Arabidopsis thaliana: one gene and its partners. The protein of the gene in region 3 interacts with the protein of the main gene of each other region in a pairwise test. Each region holds a gene or a part of one and is shown on either strand. Other genes may lie near its edges.

What was found.
Region 1: the proteins of IDD12 (region 3) and AT4G22820 interact in a two-hybrid assay, tested with the Arabidopsis thaliana proteins (one large-scale study listed by BioGRID).
Region 2: the proteins of IDD12 (region 3) and OFP7 interact in a two-hybrid assay, tested with the Arabidopsis thaliana proteins (one large-scale study listed by BioGRID).

Annotation. Positions count from the first base shown.
Region 1 is NC_003075.7:11,987,082-11,990,972, forward strand, and holds AT4G22820 (A20/AN1-like zinc finger family protein), read right to left. Parts: upstream 2,007-3,891; 5' UTR 1,719-2,006; exon of another isoform or gene 1,342-1,718; 5' UTR 1,321-1,341; coding exon 790-1,320; 3' UTR 568-789; downstream 1-567. Other genes in the region: AT4G22830 (YCF49-like protein), read right to left, coding at 3,215-3,328, 3,432-3,500, 3,575-3,653. UniProt on the Arabidopsis thaliana protein: May be involved in environmental stress response.
Region 2 is NC_003071.7:8,025,065-8,028,866, reverse strand, and holds OFP7 (ovate family protein 7), read right to left. Parts: upstream 1,911-3,802; 5' UTR 1,766-1,910; coding exon 818-1,765; 3' UTR 594-817; downstream 1-593. UniProt on the Arabidopsis thaliana protein: Transcriptional repressor that regulates multiple aspects of plant growth and development through the regulation of BEL1-LIKE (BLH) and KNOX TALE (KNAT) homeodomain transcription factors.
Region 3 is NC_003075.7:1,175,470-1,180,660, forward strand, and holds IDD12 (indeterminate(ID)-domain 12), read right to left. Parts: upstream 3,156-5,191; 5' UTR 3,027-3,155; coding exon 2,834-3,026; intron 2,598-2,833; coding exon 2,198-2,597; intron 1,343-2,197; coding exon 721-1,342; 3' UTR 531-720; downstream 1-530. UniProt on the Arabidopsis thaliana protein: Probable transcription factor.

The DNA of each region.
Region 1 (3,891 bases), about 11 Mb from region 3:
TCCTCAATCTTACATGTGGGCTTTACATGTACAGACCAAATTCCAGGCCCAAAAATATATTTATATATTTAGGCCGATATGGGGCCCAATATGCTATCATGTTGATCAAATAAGATAAAACTCTAATATATATGCCAAGTTCAAATTTATATATTCATGTAACATTGGTATGTTATACCAAGACATAAATTAGTTAGCTCACTTAGGAAACATGACTTTTTTTCGAAGATAAAAGGCCGAGTGTTATCGTTGGTTCATGTATATCTTTATTGTTATGAATGTCTGTATAATTTTGAAGTGTTATAAAATTTCACAATGCTCCCATCTTCAAAATAGGGAGGACGATGAGTATCTCTCTCATTTTAAACTCCCAGTGGTAGGTTTTGCGTGTATATTACGCGGATTTGTTACTGAGAGTTTAAAATGGGAAAGACACTTAGGGGGAAAGCGAACTGAATAGTGGGTCGATGGTTGCCTTGCCATGGTTAACACTTAACACTATCCCTTCTTTCGTCAAAGGTCTATTGGTAAGATTACTTATTTTGTTTATGATGTCTATATTGAAATTGTAAACATGACCAAATTTTTTTTGTAAAAGTGAGATGAGTCAAACTCATTGGCAATTTAGTTTAAGAACAAACTTCATCGATTCACTTTATTACGGAACCAAATTCATCATCCTCTATCCCTTTGGAAACAATCCATTAAAACCATCCAAGACAACCCCCAAATCGGTTCAAATACAAATGAGTAATTACCACCAAAATACTTAGAAAAAACTTCCATATTTCAGAACCTTTGAATTTTATCAGCCTTAACCACAGGATTAGCTTTGGCAATCTCTCCACGTCCAACTTCTTTGAAATCAAAGCTGCAATCATGAGTCTCCGGGTACCGATGTTCGCCGCAGAAAGTGCTCCCGCATTTGCACTTAAACCCCATGATCCCAACCTTCTTGTTACAACACAAACACCGGTTGGTTCGTGCAGGTCTCGATGGCTCGTTCGCCTCAGGAACCGCCGAGGAAGATGGCTCGGCCGAGACAACAACAACTGCCGCCTTTTCGGGTTTGGGTTCCACAACAACAGCAGGAGGTTCTGCTATGAAGAGACTACGAGGAGGAGAAGGCTTGAAAGATTTTTCAACAGCAGCTTTAGCAACTGCTGTTTGAGCTTCCTCAGCACAAATGCCTCTGTAACATTTAGAACAGAGATCCATGTTTGATGGTGATCCAAAGAAACCACATCCTTTAACACATAGCTTTGGCTCTGAAGCTTGCGATTGCGTGAAGCTTGTGCTATCGTTTTGTTCCGATCCCATTCTTACTCTCTTGCTTTTCTTCTGTTACACCACATAAATTCAAATTAAAATTTTACCACTGCGATTATTGACAATATACACGACAAGAAGACAATAGATGAGATTAGTCAGACCAAAGATTCCTCAATGTCAGAGGATCTTTTAAGGTTGTCGGGTTTTTGAGGATTAGATCCATAACAAAAGTACAACTATATTATTGACACAGATCGATTTTGTTTTAGCTACGATAACAACAATTTCGTCATCAAATTATGCAATTAAAAAAGTAGATCTGAGTTTCCGAAACACAAATACTAAGATAACACAAGAATCTAATTCAGATCGGACAAGACACAGAATCAACTAAATCAATCAATCAATCAAAAATACACAAGACAAAGGAGATTGGGAATTTTTACCTGTAGAAAACGGAGATCTCTTTCTTCTGGCGATTTTAAAGAGAATTAACAAACAACGATTCACAGTTTGTGTTTGTTTCTGATCTTCGGAAGTAATCTTCGTTAGATGATTTGTTCTTAAATCGATAAGAATTGAGAACGACAAGTCTTTTTCGTTAATCGAGAACAACAAGAGAAAAATTAGAGAAAAACAGAAACACGTAACTATGGAGGAACATACATGTGTATATATTTATATGGTATGAGTCACGCTACGGTTTTCACTTTTTTTAAGTTGTGTTCTTCTACACCTCCTTATTGTACACTTTCGTAATCTTAACCGTGCGATTCTTTTGGCTGACCTAATCTGACGGTTATAATTTATCATCGAGCAGCTAAACGGAATAATAATGGCACTGTTTTGTAAAATTTCCAAAGTTATGAAGTCAGAACTGTACTTTCGTAGCTGACGTGTATATTTCCTTTATTTTTGAATTCTGACTTTCCATTTTTTTATTAATTGACATTTTTTATCCAGTTTGATCCAAAAAAAAATGATGTAGGTTTTTTTTTCCCATAATAGGAGTACAAACTAATAGGTAAAATTAACAAATTTAAATGTATAAATGGCCTTTGGGGTTGTTTAAGTAATGATTAAGATGGTATTATTGGTGGACTTTTGGGGAAGATAAAGATAAGATATGCCTTCTTCATCACGCCCTGGCTTGGTCTAAACACGATTAACGCGTTGTCAAGATTTAAGTGGAACTTGGTATCTTATTTTAATAATTCGAAAATTTTATTATTTTAAACTTATGTACTTACGTTCATTTTTTTTCTTCTTATTAAGATCCTAACCAGAAATAGCTCAACCACCCCACATTTTTGCTTATAGTTTTTAACTTCAAGAGATTCGGATTTAAAAAAAAAAAAAATTGTCGTACTGTCCCACGTAAAGATTCAATTTTGTGTGTGACAGATGTAAGTTATACACAATGATTTTCTTCAACTAACTAGATTGAGTTTGTTGGCATGTTTTACTATATATGGTCTCGATTTAAGATGATATAACAAAACAAGATAATTAGTTCAGATAATGTTAAACGTTCAATATCTGCATTTTGAGTTAAGATAATCTCAATATCTGCATTTTGATGTCTACTTTTATTTATAATTTTAGCCAAACTTGCCACACTGGGAAAAACGTTATCAGTTTTGGCACTTTCTTTCTTCTGTTTTCTTGATCTCATTTATACAAAAATGGAGAAGTTCTTATGATCACGTAACCAAAATTTATAATTTAATTCAAACTCTAGATTCTGGATAAGACTAAATCTGTGTAACTTGGGTTACTGATATAGGTTGAATGCACATGGATCTTCCTCATATAAAGACTATATAATATACTTAAATCGTTGACATAGAATCTCATAGAACTTTTCAAAGGGGAAAAGAATCTTAGTGATCCTCCAATTAATAATTCAATTATACTTTGCTCATATTGATCGGTTTAGCCATCATGGCTTTTCAGAGACTTCAATTTTGGATGACAACTTGTTGATCCGAAAGGCAGCAATGCAGAGAGTGATATTACCAAACACCGTTAGTGCTGCCTGAAGAGCGACCAACACCTGATAATGCAGTCCAACAATTACACCATTAAGTAGGAGTGAAGAAGCAAACGAAACATATCACAGACTTATAGCTAAAAGTTGGAGTCAAGAGTTTCTTGACCTCAAGAGATTCATCGTTGTAGAAGAAATGCCATGTGCATGCACAGAGAGCTCCACCAAGCAAAGGTACCTGATTAAGAACAACCAAAAAGCTCAGAAAAATGAAATCATGTAATCTAGGAAAACGGCTTAGAGCTTTCTCACCATTCCCCATGAGAGACCTTTCCAAGACTCATAACCCTTTCTTTCTCCATACTTCCATACCAATGCCATCGCCGTAATCCTTTAGTAAAAACAACACCAGAATTAGAAAGACATTACATTTTTCTTGTTTGTTAGCTCCAACTGCATTTCAAACCATAATGAGAGAAGCTTAATCTACATTGTGAGTGAAAGATCGAGACTTTATATGTAGATGAAGCTTCTCTCATAATGATATCAAAAACTCGAAAAACCCACAACATCAAATACTCTCTTGTGTCACTATAGATCAAATGTCAAATGTTTTCTAAGTGAGAATT
Region 2 (3,802 bases), on a different chromosome or scaffold from region 3:
GGGGTTAGATGGTAGGACGAGTTTGGGTCGATAGTAATACGAGACGGTATACCAAGAGTGAAATCCATTATATATTTTTTATTTCACTGGAAGGGATTAGATTGTAGGATGGATTTGGATCAATAGTAATACGAGAAAAATCAAACATTGTATTTATACACTAAAAATATATATAGATATAAGAGTTGTACATTTAAAAAATACAAAACATTAAATCATATTTTATTAAACAAATTAAACTTTTATTTTTTTTTTAAAAATAGTCCTGCGGTATATCGCGGGTTAAAAAAAAATCGAATTTTACATAATACAGTTTATCATGCTTTTATTAGATACACTATACATTTTAACCGTAATCCTAACTAAAATTCTAAAAAAAATACATATTATAACCGTTAACTCAAATACATAATCTATTATTCAACTATACGAATTTTACTTAATATATAAATTTTATTTAGAAAAAATAAATCTGCGGTATACCGCGGGTCAAAATCTAGTTTTGTATACATAACTTTAACTTTAGTAACCAAAAAAGTGAAATTTTTGAAAAGCAATTATTGCGTGTGAATATGAACATCTTTTTTTGGGTTTGGTGTTGACGATTATGAATATATGCAATCTATGCATTAGAATCTAAATCGCACAAATACAATATTTTAATTAGCCTACGCATTTAATGATTACAGTTTTAATAATTGCACCGCCGCATAATTTACATTTAACATTTACATCGTCACTAAAAGTGAAAAAAATTTAGTAGAATTTAGTTAGACATTATCATAAACAGAGGATTTTAATTTTTAACATTATTATTTTAACACTCATCGTAGTCTGAGAGTCGAACACTCGAGAAGGAGGACGATCTCCGACCACCACCACTACCACCGGAGAACAAAGCAACCCAAATCTCTGAAAACGCTCTTACAATCGCGCGGTGGTGGCGTTTCGCGTTTAGCGATAGGAAGCAACTAAGAAGCTGTTCAAGCTCAGCTACTTCAAACATCTTCTTCTCTACTATCATCTCCATCATTGATCCTTTAAAATCTTCGTATGGATCCTCCGATTTCTTCACCACCGCCACTCCTTCCACCATAACCGCCGCCGCCATCGTACACGGCATTAATCTCTGCACAAACGAAGACAGTCTCGCCGGAGACGGTGGCGGTGATGATGATTCACTTTCTTCCTCGATCACCGCCTTCTTGAGAAGTTGTCTCGGACGTCTTGTGACACGCGGTAGCTCGGAAGAGGAATATTCCGGCGAGAGGTTTGTAGAAGATGGTAAGAGACTCTCTCTATCAGTCTCTTCTTCGGCGGAGGAAATGCTCCCTCGCCGCCGAGAGTTTGATTTCTCCTTCTTCTTTAAACGCCGGCGATTATCTTTCTCCGACCCACCGTTGTATATTTTCCGACGAGGCGTTTCGTATTCTTCTTCAGTGACTTGAGCAATCACGTGCCACTTCCCTTCACTTTCCCACTGAAACGTCGGCGTTTGCGGCGGAGATAACACCGGTGAGTTTCTCAGATCAACATCCAACGGCGTGGACGAGCGTCCGCAGCCAAACACAGTTAAAACGTGTAGTCTGAAAGAAGAACGGCGACGTTGCGGCACGGTGGTGACGTCGGCGGAGGAGTTAACCAGTGGAGAAGTACGTCGGAGACTTGAAGAAACAGGATTAAAAGGAAGAGAAGAAGGATCTTTTAAACGGCAAGATTTGAATGAGAGGATTCTTGAAATCTTTAATTTGAAACGTTTCGTCATTTTTTTTTCTTTTCTTGTTTTTTGTGTTTTGTTGGAGAAGTGAAGAAAGTATGGAGCATTTACCAAATGAGAACTGTTTGTGTCTCTTCTGCTTCTATATATATGCAAACACTTTTATATTGGAGTATATAAAATTGTATAATATTTCTCTGCTTTAGTATGCTTTATACCGACATTACATTTACTAATTATCTTTTTTTTGTTGACAGCTGCAATATAAGTTATTTATACGAATCCCTACTTTTTTTTGCCCATACTAAAACCTTACCTTAGTTAAATGATCAAATGAACCGTGAATGTCATTAGACGGGTCAGAATGTGTGTGATATGTATATACTTTGCGTTTTCAAAAGCAACCCAAATTAGTTAAGTGGACGTCTAAGGCTTGATTTGCAGAGATGTTGGCAATAGCAATGGTGAAGGAAAAGTTGCACATCATCGTTCTTCTGAAGTGGTGGTAGTCGAGAAAACGTATTTATATGTAGGATTTCATATATATACGTTTTCTCGATTACTTCTTCAGTAGAATGATGATACTGTATCGATCATAAACAAGATACCGAATTGTGATATAACCATTTTGACTTGAGAGTTTATTAAATATCGATCTTAGTTAATAGGAATAAGATAGTTTGTACCAAAAAAAAACTAAAGACATAACCATGTGTGGGCATATACAAGTCAAACACCTATGAAATTGAAAGGTTGAGAAATTAAACGGCTAAATTAAAATACAAAACAACAACATTCTGTCTAAATTGTTTTATATTTTTTACCACAAAATACATTTCTTTTTTAGAACTTTTTTTTTTGTCTTTATTCCTAAATACTTTCTTGCTTTCTATATATTTAGATCAATTTTTTTTGTTAATACATATTTTCAAAAATCGAAAAGATATTTTGGAAAAAAATTCACAATTTTGATTACATATCGTAGTATCGCACAGAATCATGTTTAGCCTAGTCTTGTAATAAATTACATGTAATTAAAATAATTTTTGTAACGTCATCACATGTATGATGTCAATGTTGATACCTATTTTTTTATACTGTATATACTTATGACTTAAATTGACAAGCTAATCCTAAGAAAATTATACAAACCCTAACCCCTAGGCATCAAAGATTGATGTAACTCGAGTTTGACCGATACAAAAGTTCTACTTAGCTCGAATTAGCTTGCATTTGGATCTAGCAACCAACAAGCATAATAAGACTAGTCCAAAAAGAACTCACAGTTCTTGTTAGCTTGCATTTGAAGCTAGCAACCAACAAGCAAAAGAGTAGTCCAAAATCTTGTAAGACATTTAGCAAAGTCCAGAATAGTCAACTTACCTTAAAAGAAAGAATATGCGATAATCCATTGTCTTATCAGGTTTTTGAAAGTAGTAACTATTTTCCTACCATCCCAATCACATGTATTGAGAAAATGTATACTCTTAGTCTTACTATAATATTTTAACTTAACTACTATCAAACAAATTTTTAAAGTTACCGCGCGAAAAACCTAATAATTTTAAAAAGGCATTTTACGTGAAGAACATATCACTTCGACAAACACTTGTCAGCTGAATTAACTAACATTTGTTAATATTGACTCGTAATTATACACTTCGTCAAAAGTTTACCTAAATTATTTGAGTTTTTTTTGTGTTGGGTATTAATTAGCACTGCTCTTTTATGAGATTGAAAGATACGGTTTCAAAACTTTCGGGATTTAAAAAAGCCAATTTTGCAATAATAAATTATATATTATATTTAAAAGAAGGTGAAAAGTTGTATGATAAGACAAAAAAGATCCATTTTTGAAGAATGAAGAAGCGAAGTAGGGAACGACCAAAGGATCCAAGGAGACAATATAATCTGATTCATGCCCCAAAGTCATCTTTCTCCATCTCTTTCCCATATATTTATATTTTTCAACTTTATTTATTTTCTTCCTTTTTGGAAAATTACAATATGATTACATTTCTACTTGTGTCGTTTAATCATTAAAAATATATAATGTAGATGCTCCTTTACTAGTTAAAGAGTCTA
Region 3 (5,191 bases):
TGGTATAGCGACTATTCATCACAGTATGAAAATGATACATACATGTTAGTGTTCGTTACTAATGCCATAGTGGCAACATAAATGACCATCAATAGTATAAGCTCCTTGTCACTGATTAGTGATTACGATAGAAACTTGTTAACAACAATCAGAACAACAATAAATATGTTTGTCGACACCTATTGCCAAATTTGAGTTACGATGAATATGTATTTCTCAATGTGTATAAGATTGGCAATATATATCTTCAGAAGACAAAAGTGCATATTACATGATGTATACATGTAACGTGGATATGATGAAAGAAGTTGTATACTTGTATAGTATCTATCACAGTCAAATAAGCTGGCTTTGAGAGGACACATTCGTCAATCCCTAGAGACGTTGCAGTTTTGTGGGACTTTTACCGATCCATTTTTTAAGGAAAATCATATTATTTTTGATTTTTCATGTAATGTCCAAGTAAAAACTTTTTTAGGTTTTTTAACGGACATAATATTGACTAAGGAAATTCTAAATGTTCCTTACTTCCTTGTACGAATATATTTTTACAAGAAAATCCAACGTAAACGAGACAAAAATTCAAAGCTAGCAACAATTTTAGAAAATTAATAATCCCCAGAAAGAAATGCTCTGTGTCTTTTTTTTTGTCCACGAGGGTATTTAAGTAATTTGAGAGAAACAAAATAAAGAAAGTAACAAGATTCCAGTTTTGCCCTTTTACATACGATGGGCCCCTGAGAATCCCAGATGATCGTAAGCCTTCTGAAACGAGTGATCATGAGATTCGGTATCGTACGCCGACATAGGAAACGCCACTCCACCCGCGTACTCTAGCATATCCCCAGGTCTGACGCTAACGTGTCCCCCATGACCCGTGAGTCCAAGAAAGTCTCTGGTCAAACGGTCAGCTTTCTGCCACGTGGACGTAAACCCATCAACAACTAACTGGTCGTACTCAGACGAAGAAGCTGACGTCATCATGACTCGGTCAACACCAAGAAACTCGTTGACGTTCGTCAAATGTCGGTGATGACCAATGGATCGAGTCTGTCCTCCGCCGCCGAAAGTAGTGGAGCTGAGAGAGGTGGCCTTTTGGAGAAGAGCCGTCGCGGAAAGAGCTGCCGTTGGAGGCGTTGAAAGAGCGGCGGTGGAAAGTGATGGTTCGATGAAAAGAGGTGATGACGTGAAGAGCAAGGAGGAAGATTTATTGAACATAAAATGATGGCCTTGGAAATTAGGGTTAGGGTTTGTGAGATTGGAGGAAGAAGTTGAGTGGAGTCTTGCACTTTCTTCTGCTAATGCATCACAAAACGCTCTATGCGTTATGAAAGTGTCTTTCCTGTTTATAAAATATATATATCACAAACAAACAAAAACAAATATTAGATAGAAACATAAACAATATATGTATGTATGATCAATAATGATGCAATTGTAACATTAAACCAAAAATAAAATGATGCAATTGCAAGTAGTGAAATAGTTTGGAGTGGACCATACAGAGATAATAAAGAAGTTTCAAAATTCAAAGAAAAGCTTTTGAAGCCTATTATGTCATGATGGACCAATGCAATTTTACACACAGCAAATCAAATCATAGATTATCAAAATCTTTTTACAAAAAAAAAAATTACAAAATCAAATCAAGATTCTTTTTCACTATTATGATGATGAAGGAGAAGATTCACCTGCAGGCTTCTTTTTATCTCCTCATTAAATCAACACAAATTTTACATATAATGTTATTAAAAAATCATTTTTTGTTGGACAAGAATTAATTTATATTACACAAATACATACATATTAGCTCTAAAAAAGTGTGAAGTGATTTATGTAAAAAAAAAAAAAATTATATATACACGCAATAATGGCCAACATGTAAATATAATGTCTTAATCCATGAATTTTGCCACTGCATTTAATTGCACTCAAACTATATTCCATGGACAGTCACAAGCAGATTTGTCAAAGAACATAACCAAAAGAAGACAATTGAAATCAGTCACACGAAAGCATTAAATTCATCTATATATATCAAACTACTCCAAGAAAAACTATTGACTCCTATCTCTATAGAGATAGACAATAATTTAGATTTGTCACAGAAACATCAGTAAAATTTTCAAGAAAGACAAGGAACAAAGAAAGAACTTGACATAAAGAACAAAAAAATGAAAAATTAAAAAAGGGTTACCTCGAGAAAAGAGTGCCGCAGTCACATCTATAATCTCTAGTACCACAGATCTTGGTATGAGCTTTCCAATCAGATTGAACAGCATAGAACTTTGAACACTTTTCACATTTCCATTTCTTCTCTCCATGTTTCCTGCAAAAGTGTTTCTTGATCCCTGTGAGATCCCCAAGAGCTCTAGATGGATGGTGATGAGCACAGTTTGTCTCTGGGCACACGTAGACTTTCTTCTTTTGTTGTTCTTTGGTGTTCTTCTGTTTCAGCTTCCATGGAAGATTGTGGCCTCTCCTGTGAAGCTGTAGATTCTGATCTCTTTGAAACCCTTTGTTGCATATCTCACAAACGAATCTGTTTGTTGCAAGAAGTGTCTTTGGTGATAATGCGATCACTTCTGCATCTGGATCTGCCACATAATAAACCAGTTTCACATGAAAAATAAAGTCTCAAACACATAGTCTTGGTAAAAAGATGATATTCACACAAACCCTAATATTAAAAAAAGGAAGACTTTTTTGCAAAACCCCATAAGAAAAAGTTTAGGTTCCAAGATTCTACCAGGAATCAAAGACAGTATCCTGATTCATTTGGTTTTTCAAGATTCCAAATGAAAAAAAAAAAAAAAAAGTACTATTTTCTTACCAGGATTTCCAGGAAGGCCTCTCTTTTTCTTAGGCTTGTGAGTCTCTGTGTGTGTACAAACACTAGAAATCACATTGTGAAAGCCACTGAATTCTTGGATGGTACTGAGTGTGTTGTTACCAGAAGAGGCACTTGCTTCAGTAGACAAAGAGCTTAGCTTATAGGACAAGGAATGAGAAGAAAACATATCCATGGCTAGCTATATGGTTATAGCTATATGAAGAAGGAAACTCCAACAAAAGAAAAAACAAAAACAAAACTTGGAAGAAAACTATAAAAAGATCCAAACTTTGGTTTCTTCTGATCTCTTAAAATAAGGAACTGCAAGTACCTAGAGAGTAAGAAGTAAGTGTACACAGAAAGACATCATTCTTTGGCTATATATGCAAAATTAAATAATTTAGTTACTTGAGTAGTGTATATAATGCACATGTATATGTATAGTCTCAAAAGCAAGAAGACGACCATGATGGATTATTCTCCAATGTCACTATCATGTACACATATATGTGTGTGCTTACAATAAATGCAAAGACTGTTTGATTCCCATTTTTATTAGTTTTTCTATGTGCAGATAAATACCACAGAGGAAAGAGATTGTGCTTGAAAGTGAGACTTTGACTTTGTTTTCATATATCTTTAACTGTTTTTTATTTTTTATTCCTCAGTTTTATTCTTTATTTTATGTAATTTTTTAAGTGTTCTGCATTACAGAGAAGAGTGATGATTACAGGTTCAGACTATAAGCATTTACTTGAAATTGTCTACTAAAAAAGAAGAGTAGACCCAGAAAGAAAAAAAGCAAGCTATCAATTTGTGCAATTAATGGAAAATATTGTGAGATGAGACTTATCAGGCCTAATTTCCTTAAATGGAAGTAATAATCACTTTTATATCAAGAAAAGTGTGCCTCTTTTCAATTTATTGGGGTTTGAATAATGGAAACTTTTTTTGTTTTGTTTAAGTTTGTAAAGAGAATCTAAACACACAATTACTTAGCCAAAATAAACGTTGTTCTTATAATAGAAGAACTAAATTTAGTAATACAACCATTGAGGAATATCTAATAGGAAACTATCTACTGGAAAATTAAGTATCCAAGATGAAATTGTTTGACTTATTGCCAAGAGTATAAGTATACTTGTTCAATTGTGCTATTTTCTATTTGTATTTCCTTATTACTTTAGCTAGGGATTCTAGTTCGATTTTATTTCATGTAGAAAAAGCTATAACTTTCTTCTGAATTTGTCTTTAAATATTATTATATTTTACTTGTGTGTTATTATGAATTTGAGTGATGTTACTTTCTCTACCAAGGCTGCTAAAGCTTTATCTTTTTTTTTCCTTATAGTTTCTCTCATTCCCATAATATACCCAAAATTCTTAAAAAGGCACACTGATTTGAATGAAACTTATCATAAGCTATAAAATAAATTAAAACAACGTAAGGAAATAGAAACTCATTGTAAAAAGGGAACATCATACAAAGATTCTAACAAAAAAAAAACAAATTTAGGTTTAAAGCTATTTCGCCCTAAAGACGAATTAAACAACTTTATTGTCTATTTCTCTAATTTAAATTTAAATTCTGATTATACAACATCCTTACATGCCTCCTAACTTAAGTTTGAATCACTCACAAAGATAAAAGAGAGTTGTATTTGTAGGGGAGAAAAATACATACACTCAAAGCAACCAATGCCCTAAAAGCATTTTGGCTTTGAATATCAAAATGGAATATATCACTTTGTTGAATTTTGTTTCGTCTTCATATGATTTACTCTTGTGGATGACTTTGTGGCTTTGTGCTATCTTCCTCTTCCTTTTTTTCCAACCTTTATAAGTTTTTGATTAATATTCTTAATATATCCCTTTGAAAATTGTTCATGTCCAAAAAGAAAATACTTACCCCACCAACAAGAATTTTTCGCACTCTTTCATCCGTTCTTTAACTTTTTATCTGTTGAAATTTTTCTATAGAAAAATATTCCAATGAAGAACATTTTGTTAAGTCGATTTTGTCCTTAGACGTGTCTTGTACCATTTGATTCATTGGGATAGGCGTGTCTACTGTAGTAAAATTCAGTTTATGATGGAATCCCTTTAGGCCAAAACAAAACAAAACGTGTGACCATTATGAGACACGAGCGTAACTAAAACCCATGCAACACCGAATATTCTTCTTTTAAAATTTTCATAAAGGCTTTTTTGAATTGTGAAATATTCTGAAAATATATATGCTATACGAAGGAAATAAACACATGAATATTCGAATTCTTGTAACAAACAAAGGGAAAATTTTATATTTTAAAGTAAAACAGGGAAGAAACTAGATCATTTGAGGACAAAGAAAACTAG